5 linked regions of the Xenopus tropicalis genome follow. The protein of the gene in region 4 interacts with the protein of the main gene of each other region in a pairwise test. Links are inferred from orthologs where the notes say so. Each region holds a gene or a part of one and is shown on either strand. Other genes may lie near its edges. The genes, in order: topors, sall1, atf2, sumo1 and zcchc7.

Region 1 (2,197 bases), on a different chromosome or scaffold from region 4:
CCTGTCCAACAGTCTTAACAGGAAACTGGTGCTATGTTACATTGTTTAAGAGATCAAAGTCAAATATACTCTCAGCAAAGCTTTTATGAAGTTCAGATATTTCTGAAGTTGATGTAGGTGGTACATTGTCCAGTATAGGATCAGACTCTGGCAAGGAACTCTCAGCTGCTAAAGGTTCTACTTCACAGAGATCCGGTATGTTAGGAGGACTTTGTACAGGGAGCAGATTCTGTTCATCAGAGCTATCATCAAAATGTAAACCATCCAGTATTCCAGTGGCAGCATCTAAGTGCCTGTTACTTGAACATAAATCAGAGGCTTTGGAATCAGAGTCTGCCCTTTCTCCACTTAGTACTTCTGTGGTACTTACTGTGGTCGAGGTAGGTGGCGACTGGCTGTGCATGAAGTTAGTTGAGTCAATACTAGTTTTGTTTTCAGGTACCAGGGAGCTGTGGTCATTGCATGGGAGATCCTCCACCATTGGGGTGTCACTGTCACTGTCAATGGTGATAATGATGGGAGAAGCAGCTGGAGAATTAGTGTGTTCCCTGCGTCGTTTTTTCTTGTGCTTCTTTTTCTTCTTCTTTTTGTGGTGCTTTGCCCCTTCAACTGCTTTGCCCTCATATACTATTTCCACACTTGGGCTTCTTGCCTTTTTTCTTAACTTCTGCTTAGGTTCAGAGGATGAACCCATTAAATCATTTTTGAGACTACCAGTATGATTGCCAAGAGAAGTCTTGCCTGCTTGCAGACCTCCCTCTTTTTCTTTGGCAGAAGGAACTTCTCGATTGTTCCCTTCCCTTTCCTGCTTTTCCAAATGGTGTGTTTTGTATTTTCTTTTTCCACTTGGTTTGTCAGATCTGGTATGCTCAGTCCCTGATGTATTCATCTGACTGCTTGAGCGACTCCTTGACCTGTATCGCTCACGGCGATATTGTTTACTAGCAATGTATCCCCTCTCCTTTCTTGTATCTTTCTTTTCAGAGTAAGACTGAATTTTATATTCTGGGCTAGCAGAGGGTCTTGAATAACGTCCTCGACCACAAGTCCGTCTCCTGTAGGACTGTTCATAGCCATCTCTATCCCGATTTCGACTGTAATAGGTATATTCCCATTGATAAGAACTGCGATAGTTGTTGGAAGAAAAATCATTGTCACTATCATGACTTCGTGACCTACCCCTACTTCGATTTCGGCTTCTAGAGCTTGACTCGCATCTCTCTCTGGAGCTTTCACTAGTTAGTGACACAGTCCTACTCCTCCAAGACAGACTTCGATCCCTACTACTAGATTTCTTCCTTCCTTTCCTACTTTTATGCCTGCTCTTTTCAGGACTCCTGGGTTTCAAATTATTTTTGCTGCAATGCCTCCTTCGACTGTTGTGGCTTTTATTGCGAGAAGAACGAGAATAACAATCAGAACTCCTTGACCTATCCCTCCATCTGGACAAAGCATAATTACTGTTCAAATCCCCCTTATCCTTTCTAGAAGTTAAATCAAGTCGACATTTTCCCTTCTCTTTTTTCCTGGAATGGGAATGTTTGCTAGATGTGGTTTTTCCCTTGGTTTTGCGTGAACGTTTTTCTTTTGCAGGTGTGTACAAAGATGATGATGACCTGCTCAATTCACTACTGTCACTTAGGAAAAATGGTTTAATCGTAGGCTTTTTGGCATCTTCTGTCTTAACCTCACTCAATGAGCTCTCGGAGTCGGATGACAATTCAACTAATTCTGGAGTTCTTTCTGCCAGTGGTTTAACATACCCTACTATAACACAGTCATCAGTTGGAAAGGACTGATCCTGCAGGTTTTCTGTGGGTTCACTGTTGGAAACTTCTTGTGAAGTCTGTCTTATGCTGGGTGGCTCATCGTCTGAGCTTTCTGAGATATCTAGTGTAGTGGATACAGCAACTGAGGCTTGCTCAAGTGTGGAATAAGAGGGACCAGGGGTCTCATCATCCCAAGCTGTCTGGCCAACACCAGGACCAGCAGAAGGAATAATTGGATCTCTGGTATCTGCTTCATCTGGCGATATTGTGATGACAGATGACTCTGAACGGCTTCCTTCCTCATATGAAGGAGCAGGACAATCATAGTTTGCATGCTGATCATATGCTTCAATATTGTAAGGGCATCGGGCAAAGTTAACAAACTCATGTATGAAATGGTCTGTGCGGTGAAGCAAAAAAGGACGAAG
Region 2 (3,523 bases), on a different chromosome or scaffold from region 4:
ACTCTGACATGCAAAGGTTTTGCCACAAATATCACATATAGTGTTTTTATATTTACCCCGTTCTCGGAAAGGAAATAGCACACCTAAATGTTCATCTTTGATCACTTTATCTGTGTTGCTAGATGTCAAGTCCAAAGCCCCTCCATTAGCAGGTGTAGGGGACAGTCCACTGGTTGGGTCAAGAGACAGAGCTCGATGAATCTTCTCATCTGTGTTGGGTGATTTCAGATAGTCATTTGTGCTATTGGAAGGAGACAAAGCATGCATGGAGTAAGTCGATTCAGAGGCAGCAGGGCTTCCAGCACTTTGGCTTTCCATGTCACCACCAAGAGATGAGGAGTCATTGGTCATACCATCACCCTCAATAGACCCATTTTCAGTTGACTTTAGACTGGCTTGGAGCTGTTCAGCAAGTCCAGCATTAATTAATTTCATTTGATTCTCTAAAGCAGTGATACTTGAAACTTCAGGCGGCAGTGGGGAAGAAGAAAGGCTGTCTTGAGATGCATCAACAGATTTAGGGGTGTCTGGGACACTGCTGTCTGGACAATCTTCCATGTTTTCATCTGAGAAATTGTCTAGATCATCAATAGTTTTCTCATCAAAGGACCCAGTATCTGATTCCATGGAGTCAGGATAGCTTTCAGCAATAGGAGTATTAGGAATCTGCCCTCCCATATGCATCCTAATATGCTGTTGAAGTACAACAGCATTTGTAAATTTCTTTTGACAAATTGGGCATGAATGCTGAACTCTAAGAGGTGGCATGGCACGATGGACACTGTAATGAGTCTTTAAGTTACCTTTAGTTGTAAAAGCACGACCACAAATTTTGCATTTAAATGGTCGTTCTCCAGTATGTGTCCTATAATGCATTTTTAGAGCACTCTGGCAACTCAGGACTCTGCGACAAATAACACACTCATTTGGGTCACTTGACTTTTTGTCAATATTCTCTACAAGCTGTTGAAGTTTTGAAGTCTCTGATGCAGGTGCCACGTCCAAAAGTCCTCCAAATGGAAATTTTGCTTTAAATTGCTCTGACATTAGAGGCAAAAGTGGATTTGGAAATGAGGCCGAGATGCCAGAGCCAGTTGTGGGAGAGCAGGCAGAAGTATTAAGATTTTGGATGCAATCTGAATTTTGAGACTGCTGTTCCTCCTTGTCTAGAATGGGCATCGCAGCCTCAGCCTCATCTGGAAGATCACTAGTTTTTTTTAAAAGTGGCTCTGTAGCGGTCTCACTTTTTACTGAATCAGGTGGGCTGGCAGTGGGATGACTAATAGCTATAGGTTGTGGCTCTTCAGTTTTTATAAATGAAGTCAAGGTGGGAATTGTTGGTGGGAGAGGCATACCCACTGATGTTGTTAAGGTAGGTAAAACTGGTTTAGTGTCCAGCCAGTTTGTTACAGGTTTTTCTGGTGGGATAGACATCCCATATGGAATACCGGTGCTTGTAGGAATATTGTCTAAATGTTCCGGCACTGGATATGGATTCATCTGAATATGGGGATATTTCTCTTTGTGACGCTGAAAATGAACTTTAAGATTCCCTTTGGTGGAAAACCTGTTTCCACAAATGTTGCATTTAAATGGTCTCTCGCCGGTGTGAGAACGTAGATGGATCTGCAAGGCACTGTCACTGCCAAAAACCTTAGCACAGAATCTACACTTGTGTTTAAAGAATGCCTCATCAGATGTACTCTTAGTTTCAAAAGCAGTCACGCTGGGTGGCTTACTTTTCCTCAGTGAGTTTAAATCCTCTGCTGTTGTTCCTATGCTGGGCAATGTGCCAGGGAAAGGTGTGGTGTTAGGGGCAGGCTGAGGTAGTAGTGGATTGGATGCAGGACTTAATAAACTACTTATTGCAAAAGCTGGTGATGACGTTACAGGTGCTGGTGGGTTACTGACCTGTGAGCCACCGGTGCTTGAAGGTACTTTGTCTGAGGAGGGTGAAGTAACTGTGGATGCCAATGCATTCATATTTGGAGAGGAACTACTGATGGATGGAACTGTGTTAACAGGATTGCTCTGAGGTAGCTGTATGGGTGGTAGTTGCTTCATACCACTGATGCTCGCGGATTGGCTAGCAAGACTTTGTGCTAAGCCAGCTGCTGCAGCCAGCTGCTGGGACAAATGGGAACTCAGAGTAGTCAGTGGAGTGGCAGATACTCTTAAAGCCCCTTGAGGGCCACTAGCTGAAGTGGGCATGTCTGCACTCTGTGATGCCAACAGTAATATTTGGTGACGGATTTGTTCAATCAGATGCAACTGGTGAATCTGTTGTTGCTGTAAAGCCAAGAGCTGTTCCATGAGTGCAGGCACTGCCAGCTTATTGTTTGCTGCCCCCTTAGTTTTGGCTTCTTGGGAGAATTGTGCCACTGCCACTCTAGTGCTCTGAAGGTTCTCAATGATGACATTGCTGTTGATCATAGAGAAGTTGCCCAAGGCTGTCAGATCCCTTACTTGAGGTAGCGAAGTTGTGATAGCTGAGGTACCCAATGTGGGATTATTACTGCTTGAATCACCATTGTCCACTTTGTTAGAACCACTGCTGCTATTGTTAGTTTCCGAAAACTCCACCTCCATGGATTCTTCTTTGTCAGGCTTGCCGTGCTCACCATGCTCTGAAAGGTCACTGCAGTCTGCTTGATCTGAGTTATTAACTGTGTCATTCATGTGCTCATCAGGATTATCCGAGGGGGGAATAGGAGAGCTGGCTTCAGCGGGAGGTGGTGGATTTTCATTCACAATTAGAACCAATTGATTTTTAGTGCAGTTCTTCTTGTGCTGCAACAAATCTGATAGTTCAAAGAACTCTGCACAACATCTGCTACAGACATGCGCCTCCTTGTTCTTGGGCGTCCGATGGATTTGACCCCTCTCTGTGTTTCCTATAGGGGCGAGAAATTCAGACATACATTACATTTATTTTTATAACCAAACTTATTTTTCTATCTTTCTGCAGCTGCTGTCATTCATATAAAATGCAACTGAAGAAACGACACACAAAAAATAAATAAATAGAAAACATTGAGATCAGGTCAATTTTTTAGTAATAATTTAATCTAAAAAATTAGCGAGGAAACCATCAGTGCTGGTGTCTAACAATAATCATTTCCATTAGATGATCCATCAAAATATAAAATACTATGAACAGCAGACATTTGGCAATAATGAAATTCCATAGAAAATATTGATTTCCAATATTTCATGCTCCTTATTGTCTAGTTGCCCGCTAGGCGCAAATCAACAATTTAAAGCACTCATTAAACGTTCCAGTTCTTGTCATCCTTGTTCATTTTCAGTAGCCTCCAATATACTTGACAGCTTGCCCTGTCTACTTGGGAATCATTTAGATACCAATCAACCTATGCTGACACAACTAAAGAAAACTATACCAATCACACTAACTTAAACTGATCAAACTATATAAAAAAAGGTTTGAAAGGGAAAAAAACATGTGCACGATATACAAAGTTTAACTGACAACTAGCCTAGTGAAAGGAAAATAGTTTACTAG
Region 3 (4,202 bases), about 12 Mb from region 4:
GTGTGGCACAACGGCCTTTGAAGTGGGAGACCCAGGCTGGAGTTTGTGTAATAGATGCTGCCAAGCACTTTCTAACACAACCCAAAGTAAATTTTAAAGGAATACTGATTTTTATGGTATAGTTTTAGATCTAAATTACACTGTTTACATAGCAAATAAAATTGTATTCTTGAACCAACAAATGTATTTTTTGGTTGTAATATTGGTGTGTAGGCGCCATCTCAGTGCATTGTACCCGAGTCTGAGCTTTCAGCCAGCGCTACACATTAGAACTGCTTTCAGCTAACCTATTGTTTCTCCTACTCCCATGTAACTGGAGGAGTCCCAAGCCGGACTTGGATTTCTTACTATTGAGTGCTATTCTGATACCTACTGGGAGCTGCTATCTTGCTCCCTTCCCACTGTTCTGCTGGCTGCTGGGAGTGAGGGGGGATATCACTCCAACTTGCAGCGCAGCAGTAAAGTGTGCCTGAGTCTGAGCTTTCACAAGGAGCCAGCGCTACACATTAGGACTGCTTTCAGGTAACCTATTGTTTCTCCTACTCCCATGTAACTGGGGGAATCCCAAGCCGCACTTGGATTTCTTACTATTGCGTACTATTCTGATATATACTGGGAGCTGCTATCTTGATGCTTTCACATTGTTCTGCTAATTAGCTGCTGGGAGGGGGGTGATATCACTTCAACTTGCAGTAGCGGCTGCATTTCCCTCGGCTTATACTCGAGTCAATAAATTTTTCCAGTTTTCTTAGGTAAAATTAGGTACCTCGGCTTATATTCGGATCGGCTTATACTCGAGTATATACAGTATCTTTTTGAGCACTCTCCTTTTCATATCCAAGTCTCTCATTCAAACCACTGCCTGGTTATTAGGGCAAATTGGATTCTACCAACCAGATAGCTGCTGAAATTCCAAATTAAAGTAGTGATGGAAAAAACTGAAGACCAATTTCAGATTGCCTCAGTATATTCCTGTCTACATGAAAGAGTTTAACAGTGAACTAACCCTATATAAAGTAGACCAGTATGCTGTCAAATATGTACTGAAAAGACCTTTCTAAAAATGTTTAAATTATGTGGGATGTTACAAAACCAGATTCTCAAAGTCAGATGGGTTCTTGTTTTCATGTATCTGCATATGTCAGTGTATTTCAATGAGAAAAAGTCTGTCCGACTACTTGTCAGATAAAAGCTCAGCATTTCCACTTTTATACCAGCTGCACCACTGACAGACCCGCACAACTACATAAGACTTATAAGATGTGATTGTTTGCAATCACCATATCCAACAAAATCTCTCTATGTAGTTCAGCCCTAATAGTCACAGCAATACGTGCATACAAACACAGCAATCCATGTTATAATCACTTTGAAAGACGCAAGTTATTATTCTTTCTTTTCTTTATATTCCTTTCCCCGACCCAGTGATACCTTATAGCAGTGGTTCACATACTATGGAACCCGGCCTTTCTGGGGGGGGCTTGAGGCAGTAGTGAGGGTGGCTCAGTTTGAAGGTCAGTTAGGGTGAGAATTGGGGTGAATTACCATTTGCTCCCCTAAATATGACTGAAAGCTTGACAGTTCCCATTCTTATCTTATATAAGATTGTTTCAGATTCAATCCCCCCCCAAACACTACTCCTGCTCATTAAAGCATTTCCCAACCAACAAGAACAACAGTAAAGGGGCACAAGGTGATTTAAGATACGATACCCCTTGTTGTGTTTTTATTTCATAGCCCAAAAACACAGAACCAAAATACACCTACCACTAGCACCATTCAAGTCAATGGCAGGCAGCATGGCCAGGAATCCAAACAAGTTAAATCTCGTTTTACTATTTCTGTTTATGGCTAGCTATACAGAAATTTCCAACACAAATCTCCCGAAATTCGGCTGAAACTGTATGCGATTTTCATTTAACTCAATCACATTTGATTATTACAGGGAAAACATGTTTCATTGTAAAACTGTATCCAATCGGTCACATGAAAATCGAGTCAAGATATCCATGCAAGCTCTTACAAAAGGAATGAAGTGGCTAATGATACAACAAACAGGATTAGAGCAAAGGTGCAGAATGCTGCACCCACTAGGAGCCCATAGGAACCTCTCAGGAATGTACTGTAGTGCAAGGATGCCATTAGGTGAAGGCCAGTCTCCATGACATTGCACCCAAGGGCTTATATTAGGATACTTGGGCAGTCATGCACCCCACACATTGTGGAACTACAACTTACACCACCCCCAGAAATCTTGGTAGGATTCTTTCTATAGGTGAGGGATTTGTTGTGTTTAAGATCTCCTGAGGTGGTGTTGTTTTGTGGTTTACAGACAGGGCCCCCATGGGGGGGGGGGGCAGTCCCAGACCCAGTGGGTTTGGGAATTAAGGGGGGTTGGCAGTGCTGCTCTTACTTGGATTATCGGACCCTTGCTGTCAGTGAGCCGCAGACTTCGGAAGAGCCACAATGGCTTTACAGGGACTTGAACCTCTGTGACAAAACAAGCAGCAGCAGCGTAAATAACATCCAGGCACCATAGCTCCCGCCCTCCCTTTCCAAGTCTGCAGCTCACTGACAGCAGGGGGGCCCGGGAATCCATGTAAGTGCATTCTGCCCAACAGTCCAGCCTTTCCTAACACAGCCCGCAGTCCCACAACGCTACTTACACCTCCCGATAAGCTGTCAAGTGCAGGCTCCCAGCAGCTTCCCAGTCCCACAGAAAAGCCCAACACCGCGTCTCCTCACGCGAGACTGGCGTCACGACTCTACGCAAGCGCAGTGACGCATTACGCAGCCGCTTGTGGGAGGGATGAGTGGGCGTAACTGAGTTGTACGCAGTCGGTGGCTGCTAGGAAGTCGTGTTAGGTCAACTCTCAATCTGGTTTTTTTCTGATCGCACTGCCTTCCTTTGTTAACGAACGAATAAAAAAATACTTAAATAAAAACACTTTTTTTTTCTTGTTGGTTGACTGATATTCCCTTCACCACTTCAGCTCCTAATATAAAAAGTCATTTCTATTCCCGGATCAAAGTTCAGACTTGTGCCAGCAAACATAAAATTACGTTTCCTGGTTGCAGCAGTACCTGACACCCTTAGAGCCTCATATCGCAGTCTGACTAAAAGGGAAAGGGGTTTTGTTCAAACCAGGGTCAAGTGAAATTGCCATCATTTTAGTGTTTTTTTGTTTATTGAAGATTCTGTCACAGTATTAATTTCACACACAGATTTGTGTTATGGTGACATAAACACTGTAAAAGGTCACTTGTTTAAGTCTGAATGGACATGGAGTGACTCCTTAATGTTTAGTAAAGAGACAGTGGCAACATTTTTTTGATAAAGACAGGGATAAAAATGACAAATATCAGGATGCTTGCATAGTTCACACAGCAAGGGAATATATATGGTATATATGTATATGATTTAAAGGTAAGAGCAATATGCATTTGGAACACAGTGAGACAACTGGTGCACTGATTTAAGGCTGTGAGAGGCAAGCAGCTCTGGTCCACAGCTCTATGTGCAGGAGGAAGATGCTGCTGCCTTGGTAACCAGACCAGCCCAGGAAAGGCTCAGGATTGGTTAGGTGGCTTCCCTTGCTGGTCATTAAGCACCAGCAAGAACCCAGTTTCCCATACTTATTCAGTCTGCCCTAATTCAGCACCATGTTACAGGGGAAAGACAGGCAGAGTGGTCACTGACATTGGTATTTTGCCTGTCTTCCACACTCAGTCCCACAGTGGCAACCAGGGCCATGGGGCTCTCAGAGCTTCAAGCTTCCAGTGTTTACAAACATACCACCTAGAAGGGCTGAACCCTGCTCAGGGCTAAGTAGGTGTAGGTATAGGTGCTTTCTGTTGCGTTCAGGCGAAGCTTGTCCTGGAATGCTTTTCTGTCAATCAAATCTTAAAGTTTATGTTGTACTGACAGCATGATCCACCTTAGTTGGCAAAATGTTATCTGTTGTTCAGTAACAGTAGTTAGTCAGGGCTGCAGAAATTTTATGGCAGAGCTCTATGTGAAACCCAAACACTTTGAACTAGAAGTCAAAGGACATGTGAATGGAGGACTCTGTAAAACGTGTTCCTATATAGGCTGCTGACCATTACTTCAACTCCACAGCTAAGGCAGAGTTACACATGAAATGCTGCAAAGAATCTAGAATATCCTATGATATAAATAACTCCCCTCCTTCCTGAGAGTG
Region 4 (4,059 bases):
CAGAGAGATGCTGCTTCTCTAGGGAAGGTCTTTGTGGCCTTTCACAAACTCGGCCTAGCTGCCAATTGATTTACATCCTACAATGAAAACTGATGAGACACCAGGGTACCTATACATCTGCATGTGCAATTTTAACTGCAATCGCCTAGTTTTTTCCACAATGCAATATTTTTCCCAGAATTCCAGCATCTTTGCAGTTGCAAGAGTCAATGTGCTTGGTGCAATTGTGTTGTGCCTTAGTTCACAAGACAGGAAGGACTGAGCTGTGCCAAGCACACCTACATTAAAGTTTAAAGGAGAAGGAAAGGCTAATAAAGAGTTAATCCCAAACTGCAGGCATACCTTCAGTTGACTCAATAGTGCCCTTAAGTCTCCCCATACTTCACCTGTTCAGAAGATCAGAAGCCAAACAGGAAAAAAAAACGCTGAGCAGGGTAGAGAAGATTCCCATAATGCAACGCTCCTGCCCAGACTTGGCAACTTGGGACTGTAGGCAGCGCATGCGCACACAGCAGGAGCGTCTGGTTGCCATGGCGACGCAGCCGACAGGAGAACTCTGCTCTGTGACATTCAGACCTGGCAGGTGGGGGGAGCGGCAGAGGGTTTGTGGCAGGAGCGGGGAGCCGGGGGAGTTGATATGCAGTGATGCATCTGCATTTGTGACATGCAGAGCCGGCAGGTGGGAGGAGCGGCGGGGGGTTTGTGGCAGGAGTGGGAAGCGGCGGAGGGTTTGTGACAGGAGCAGGGGGGGGGGGGTTGTGGCAGGAGCGGGGGGGGGTTGTGGCAGGAGCAGGGGGGGGTTGTGGCAGGAGCAGGGGGGGGTTGTGGCAGGAGCAGGGGGGGGTTGTGGCAGGAGCGGGGGGGGTTGTGGCAGGAGCGGGGGGGGGTTGTGGCAGAAGCGGGGGGGGGGTTGTGGCAGAAGCGGGGGGGGGTTGTGGCAGAAGCGGGGAGCGGTGGAGGGTTTGTGGCAGGTGAGGGGATCGGAGGGGGGCTGGCTTGTGCTTTTCAGCAATAGCCCATACAGACATGCTGGACAAGATGGCGGCGCCGTTCACTGAAACAAGTATGTAAGTTCTAGTATGTGTATCTCTGTAAATATTTCATTGGGCAAGCCAGAAATATAGCGTTTTTACACAGCAATAGTAGTACTATTTAATAGTGTGCTTAATAGATTTCGACTTTCCTTGTCCTTTAAGAAGCGCATTTTCACTTACGTACCTCAAATGAAAGTGGTTTTACACACAACTAACTGCGCGGAAGTTAGAGACTGAAATTACACTTGCAGAGATAATTTAGGAGCCCTACTAACTCTTCTGCACATCTTGGAAAAGCACCCAGCAGTGAATGGAATTGCTCAATGGTGCTAGCAAAGTATTTAAATTTTTTTTCAGTAAAGCTGTACAAAAAGCAACTTTTCAGACACTATTTTAGAGGTGTATGATGAAATGGGAATACTTGTTCACACATACCCACAGACTGAGATACAAAATAACAGAGTGATATACATTTGACACAAATGCATGTACGCAATGTTGCCCTAAATGTAAGGCAATAAATACCAATAATGGGAAAAACAGCTTTCAACAGAAACATCTGCGTGCATCACTGGTATTTAATCCGTCGCACCATTGAAAGTGCACTTAATTGGGCCAGACAGAAATTTGGGGCTCCCAGTGGTCCCCATGCCCACATGAATGCGGCATCAGCAAAGTTTGAAGTGACAGGACTAGCTGGTACTGCCCAACATCACAGGGATCTAATCATTTTGGCCTGTAGTCCACTTGAATGTTTAAACCGTCACCCTTTAGGTGGCTGCATTAAAGATAAGATTGGGATCCTAAACTATGAAAGTCATGCAAGAAAACAAGATGTGCTTGAACATTACATACAATATAAACAAGCAGAGTGTACTACAAGAGATCAATCGTTAACTCCCACATACCTACACACAGCTTAACATGATACCTCCCCTGGGTAATGGGAATTACCACTACAATTAAATTAACATGTGTATACGTGTGCAGCGGTGTTTGTTTGGAAGGGTTAAACGCGATTGTTATATTTTCAACCAAACATAATAATGTATCTACAAACACTTAGTGGATGCTCATAAATAGACTTAATTTATGTACCTGATAGTTCTGAAATGCTTTGAGCTCTTCCAGGCTAACAGATTTACCCTACTGTAACAAATCAATGCTGTGTGAGACCCCATAAGGCTAAAGCTGCTGAAACTTGTTAGGTTAATATATACTTTATATAGGTCAAATAACTATATGGGCCAATATATCTCTGGCTTTCCTGTTAGGCCTCTCACTTCGCCAACCACCACTGGGCAATTACTCACAGATAATAACATCTACAGGAGAAGATACACATACTGGACAATAAGACATAAAGCAAATTACACGACACACAACGGGGTGTGGGTCCTATAGAGCAGTTTATCCAGCAAAAGTGCACAGCAGCAGAAACCCATAGCAACCAGCTCTAATAGTCTAAGTGTCGTATAAAATGAAAGTAAATGACTTAGCTGCCGCCCTTGGTTATGGGCCGCATGTACTACTTTAGCTGCATATTAATGTGTAGCCATGAGACCTACTTGTTTACATCTACAAGCAGGTCTCCAGACACACAAAACAAGACACACACGTCCCAGAGACTTTCTCTCGTTCTCCCGCCCACTCCACAAAAGTGTCTCACCTGATCAGACATGCTAACTGCTCTCGGCCGGTATCGGTTCGCTACACTGGACCGCTCTACGCTTTTCCTTCCTCCGGGCACAATAACAGCACAAGAGAACCAGACAAGGAAGGTGTTCCGGTTCTTGGGAATGACCTCATTTCCGATACATGCGGCACCGCCCACATTTTGCTGACGCGCACTGCTGCGGCTTGCGGCAAATGGTAGGGGTATGCGCTTGCACAGACGCTGAGCACTAGGTGGCGCTTTTGTGTCCATATTGTAATGCGAACGTCAGCCTTTAACCATTGATATCCAGTGTTTTTTCTGTATAGAGCATTAACCTCTCCAAAGCCGAGCATTAATAGTAGGCGTCTAATGGCTTTGGCACTGCCAGCCTCACATCATTAAAAGGCCCCGTTACATAGTAGATTGGCTTTACCTGGCTTTACGTGGCTTTTGACGTTTTAGTAGGTGATTCTTAACCTTTTTGGTTGCGTCGCATGATTGAAATTGACCACAAATGTTTATATAAACTGGTTAAATGAATGAGCCAAATTACAGACAATTGCTTATATGAAAAAAAAATTGGTTATCTTATCTTGTCAATCTGATCCCTTGAGAGCCCCTGATGCCTCTATATTAGAGGACACATTGGGAAGAGACTAAATAACAGATACCGAGGCATAGGGTGGGTGGAGAATAGACATAATTATCAAAATTGTGTGAATAAACCTTACCCGCGCTTCTAATAAATTTATGTGTAGTTCGTGAAAGACTAATATTATTCTAAAAAACAAATTAAATTACCCAACAACAATCCTCTTACCCAAATAGTGAATAGAATATCATAAATAGCCTCCTTCCTCCAAACTAATCCTCACAGTGAATATATAAATATTATAACAAGGAGTTAGCGCTAAAAAAATATACCACCAAGTGTAAAAATTCTATAATATTTTAATTAATCATTAAATCAATACAAAAAGATACAAGTCATAAGTTAAAAGATACAATAGGATATAGTGATAATCAAAAACAGTTCGTTAAAACTAAATTGTTGGCCCTATTAGTTCATTAAAAAAGTGAACTAGGATAAATGAGGATGGTACAATAAATACGTTTAGCTTTTTAAATGACTATTTATGCACGTATTTATTGTACCATCCTCATTTATCCTAGTTCACTTTTTTAATGAACTAATAGGGCCAACATTTTAGTTTTAACGAACTGTTTTTGATTATCACTATATCCTATTGTATCTTTTAACTTATGACTTGTATCTTTTTGTATTGATTTAATGATTGATTAAAATATTATAGAATTTTTACACTTGGTGGTATATTTTTTTAGCGCTAACTCCTTGTTATAATAATT
Region 5 (2,484 bases), on a different chromosome or scaffold from region 4:
ATGTAGGCCACAAAAATTCTGGCCCTTGATACTACAGCACTGATCTAGAACATATCTGTCCAAGTGGACTGTGGGCTGGACTTGAACCCAAAAAACTCCAGCTAAGGGCTGTATTAAACACTTTATATGGCATTCATTTAACAGAAAAACCCTTTAATTAATTCAGTTGGACAGCACTGATCTAGATTATGAATAAATAACCTTTAGAACTTAGTACTAGTATGGGATCTGGAAACCCATTATCCAGAAAGTTATGAATTATAGGAAGGCCATCTCCCATAGACTCCATTGTATACTTAATCCCAACTAATATATAATTAATTCTTATTGGAGGTAAAATAATCCTACTGGGTTCAATTAATGTTTATATGATTAGACAAGGTATGAAGATCCAAATGACTGAATAACCAGTTATCAGGAAAACCCCAAGTCCCATACCTGTACAGTGATTCTTTATTCAGTAAGTGACTGGACAATCCACCTTGCTCACTTTACACAAACTTTCTAAAGAGTTGCACATGGAAGATTTTATTTATTTCTTGAGATACAATTAATTGCATTGCTTTAATATCAACATGAAATATAATGTGTGGCCATTTTAAGTGTTAGGGACTAATAATCTCCTCAAGACTCAAATGTTTAACATCTGCAATACAATTTGTATTATTTCAATGGCACAAACAATGTAAGGAGGTGTTTTGAAGACAAGTATCTGCAGGATGAAAACAACACAGAAAACCAATAAAAAATCTGCATACTTATTTGGGGTGTACTTAAAGGTTACGCAAGCCTTTTGACTTTAAAATCCCCCAAAATACTCACAAAAGCTCCCAGAAGAACATACCTTTTCTCCCAGCAGATTTTGTATCACTAACAGCTCAACTTCAGCTCTCTTAGCTACTTCCTAGTCTATTGTGAAGCTCCGCCCCTTTGCTTCTCTGAGCTTTCCTGCTCTGTCTGACTGTAAACAGTCAAAACGGTGTCTGCCGTGCATGCTTGCTGCCTCTGCTTCAATAAAAAGCAATCAGGCACGCACAGTAGGCACCTATCTAACCATCATGCTCAAAGAGACAAGGAGAGCTCAGAAAAGAAAAGGGGGCAGAGCTTCATTGTAGACCAGGAAGTAGCTGAAATGAGCTGCAATTTTCAACTTGTAATTTAGAAATGACATGAAACTGAATGCAGGGAGAAAAGATGTTATTCAGGGCACTATTCAGAGCAATTTTAGAGATTAAAAAAAGGCTTACGTATTCTTTTAAGTTCATTTACTTATTCTTTAAATTTCCCTTTAAGAACCAAAGATGATTTTTAACCTCAAAAAGCTAGACCTAGGTAAATGTATGCAAAACCAACAACTATCTGCACCTTTCTAAAGCATAGTATGTAAAGAAACAGGTCATGATGAATCTAAGAATATAGGAATACACAGAACTTGGCCCCCTTGGCACTTGTATCCCTAAATCTAACTGCTAAAATAAGTATTTGTTTTAAACGTTCTAAAGTACATAAGGTTACAGTACATACGGTATATAAAAATACTGAACAAATTTTCCTGGGACCATATAAATGTTTCCCAATTATACCATTCTCTTTTAAAGGGACAGATGAATTGATCCTTCAAAAGAGCTCACTGATACACACTGAAAAATGTTCCTATCAGAACCGGATGTATTTGAATGTACAGATACTGTACAGTTTTCAGCAGCTTAGCCGTATTTGCCACTCTACTGAAACCACCTTATAAGCACATCTAAAGCAAAACTGTGATTAGGTGAAGTTTGGCAAGAAAAGAAAAGAAATTCTTCCTTGCTACTGAAACCAAACCCGTACAATGAGTTGTAAAACAATGTATGTTATGTGTGTATTTGTGAATGAATAGAGAAGCAGCATATACACTGTAAAACACTGAGTCCCTTATTATAAGGTGGTTGCTCGTAGTACAATATTAAGAATCCATACCCATATATAAAATACATTAATAAAAAATTTATATAGTTTCTTTAAATTATCAGCTCAAAGGCTTGTTATATGTGATATTAACTTAGATCTGGAGAAACAGGGATCTCCACAATATGTTGTGTTCCTGCAGATTATGGTTCCAGTATATGGAAGGTATTATAATATCCAATTACATCTGTTCATGCAGTGCTGCTTTGTGACTAGTCAACCCTTTTCTTTGAATTCTTTTTCTTCTGTTTAATTATGAGCAAGTCCTGGTCAACAGCACAACTGTCTCCCTTTTTGCCCTTATGTTTCTTCCTCCAGCCTTTTTTAAGCAAATTTTTCTTGTCTTCCTTGAACAGGTTGCTGCCATCATGCTTCTTTGAAGATTTTTTATACTTTAAGTAATCATTGGGGCGTCCACGGGGGAAATCCTCCTCTGTTTCTTGAAGGCCAGATCTTTTTTTCTTACGCTTCTTCGTTTGCTTTGTCTCTGCACATTCTTCATCCATGAGGGTACCCTGCTTCTTTTTTTTACTAGGA

The links.
Region 1: the proteins of sumo1 (region 4) and topors interact in a two-hybrid assay, tested with the Homo sapiens proteins (2 studies listed by BioGRID). The link is inferred for Xenopus tropicalis from reciprocal best matches to the Homo sapiens genes SUMO1 and TOPORS.
Region 2: the proteins of sumo1 (region 4) and sall1 interact in a two-hybrid assay, tested with the Homo sapiens proteins (2 studies listed by BioGRID, with this or other methods). The link is inferred for Xenopus tropicalis from reciprocal best matches to the Homo sapiens genes SUMO1 and SALL1.
Region 3: the proteins of sumo1 (region 4) and atf2 interact in binary tests that used the Homo sapiens proteins (3 or more experiments, as listed by UniProt). The two-hybrid records come from large-scale screens. The link is inferred for Xenopus tropicalis from reciprocal best matches to the Homo sapiens genes SUMO1 and ATF2.
Region 5: the proteins of sumo1 (region 4) and zcchc7 interact in binary tests that used the Homo sapiens proteins (3 or more experiments, as listed by UniProt). The link is inferred for Xenopus tropicalis from reciprocal best matches to the Homo sapiens genes SUMO1 and ZCCHC7.

What each region holds. Positions count from the first base shown.
Region 1 is NC_030677.2:115,117,242-115,119,438, forward strand, and holds part of topors (E3 ubiquitin-protein ligase Topors), read right to left. Parts: coding exon 32-2,197; 3' UTR 1-31. UniProt on the Homo sapiens protein: Functions as an E3 ubiquitin-protein ligase and as an E3 SUMO1-protein ligase. Probable tumor suppressor involved in cell growth, cell proliferation and apoptosis that regulates p53/TP53 stability through ubiquitin-dependent degradation.
Region 2 is NC_030680.2:50,892,654-50,896,176, reverse strand, and holds part of sall1 (sal-like protein 1), read right to left. Parts: intron 2,895-3,523; coding exon 1-2,894. UniProt on the Homo sapiens protein: Transcriptional repressor involved in organogenesis. Plays an essential role in ureteric bud invasion during kidney development.
Region 3 is NC_030685.2:64,415,375-64,419,576, forward strand, and holds the start of atf2 (cyclic AMP-dependent transcription factor ATF-2), read right to left. Parts: upstream 2,824-4,202; 5' UTR 2,667-2,823; intron 1-2,666. UniProt on the Homo sapiens protein: Transcriptional activator which regulates the transcription of various genes, including those involved in anti-apoptosis, cell growth, and DNA damage response.
Region 4 is NC_030685.2:52,313,277-52,317,335, forward strand, and holds the start of sumo1 (small ubiquitin-related modifier 1 precursor), read right to left. Parts: upstream 2,820-4,059; 5' UTR 2,716-2,819; coding exon 2,704-2,715; intron 1-2,703. UniProt on the Homo sapiens protein: Ubiquitin-like protein that can be covalently attached to proteins as a monomer or a lysine-linked polymer.
Region 5 is NC_030677.2:109,181,013-109,183,496, forward strand, and holds the end of zcchc7 (zinc finger CCHC domain-containing protein 7), read right to left. Parts: coding exon 2,160-2,484; 3' UTR 513-2,159; downstream 1-512.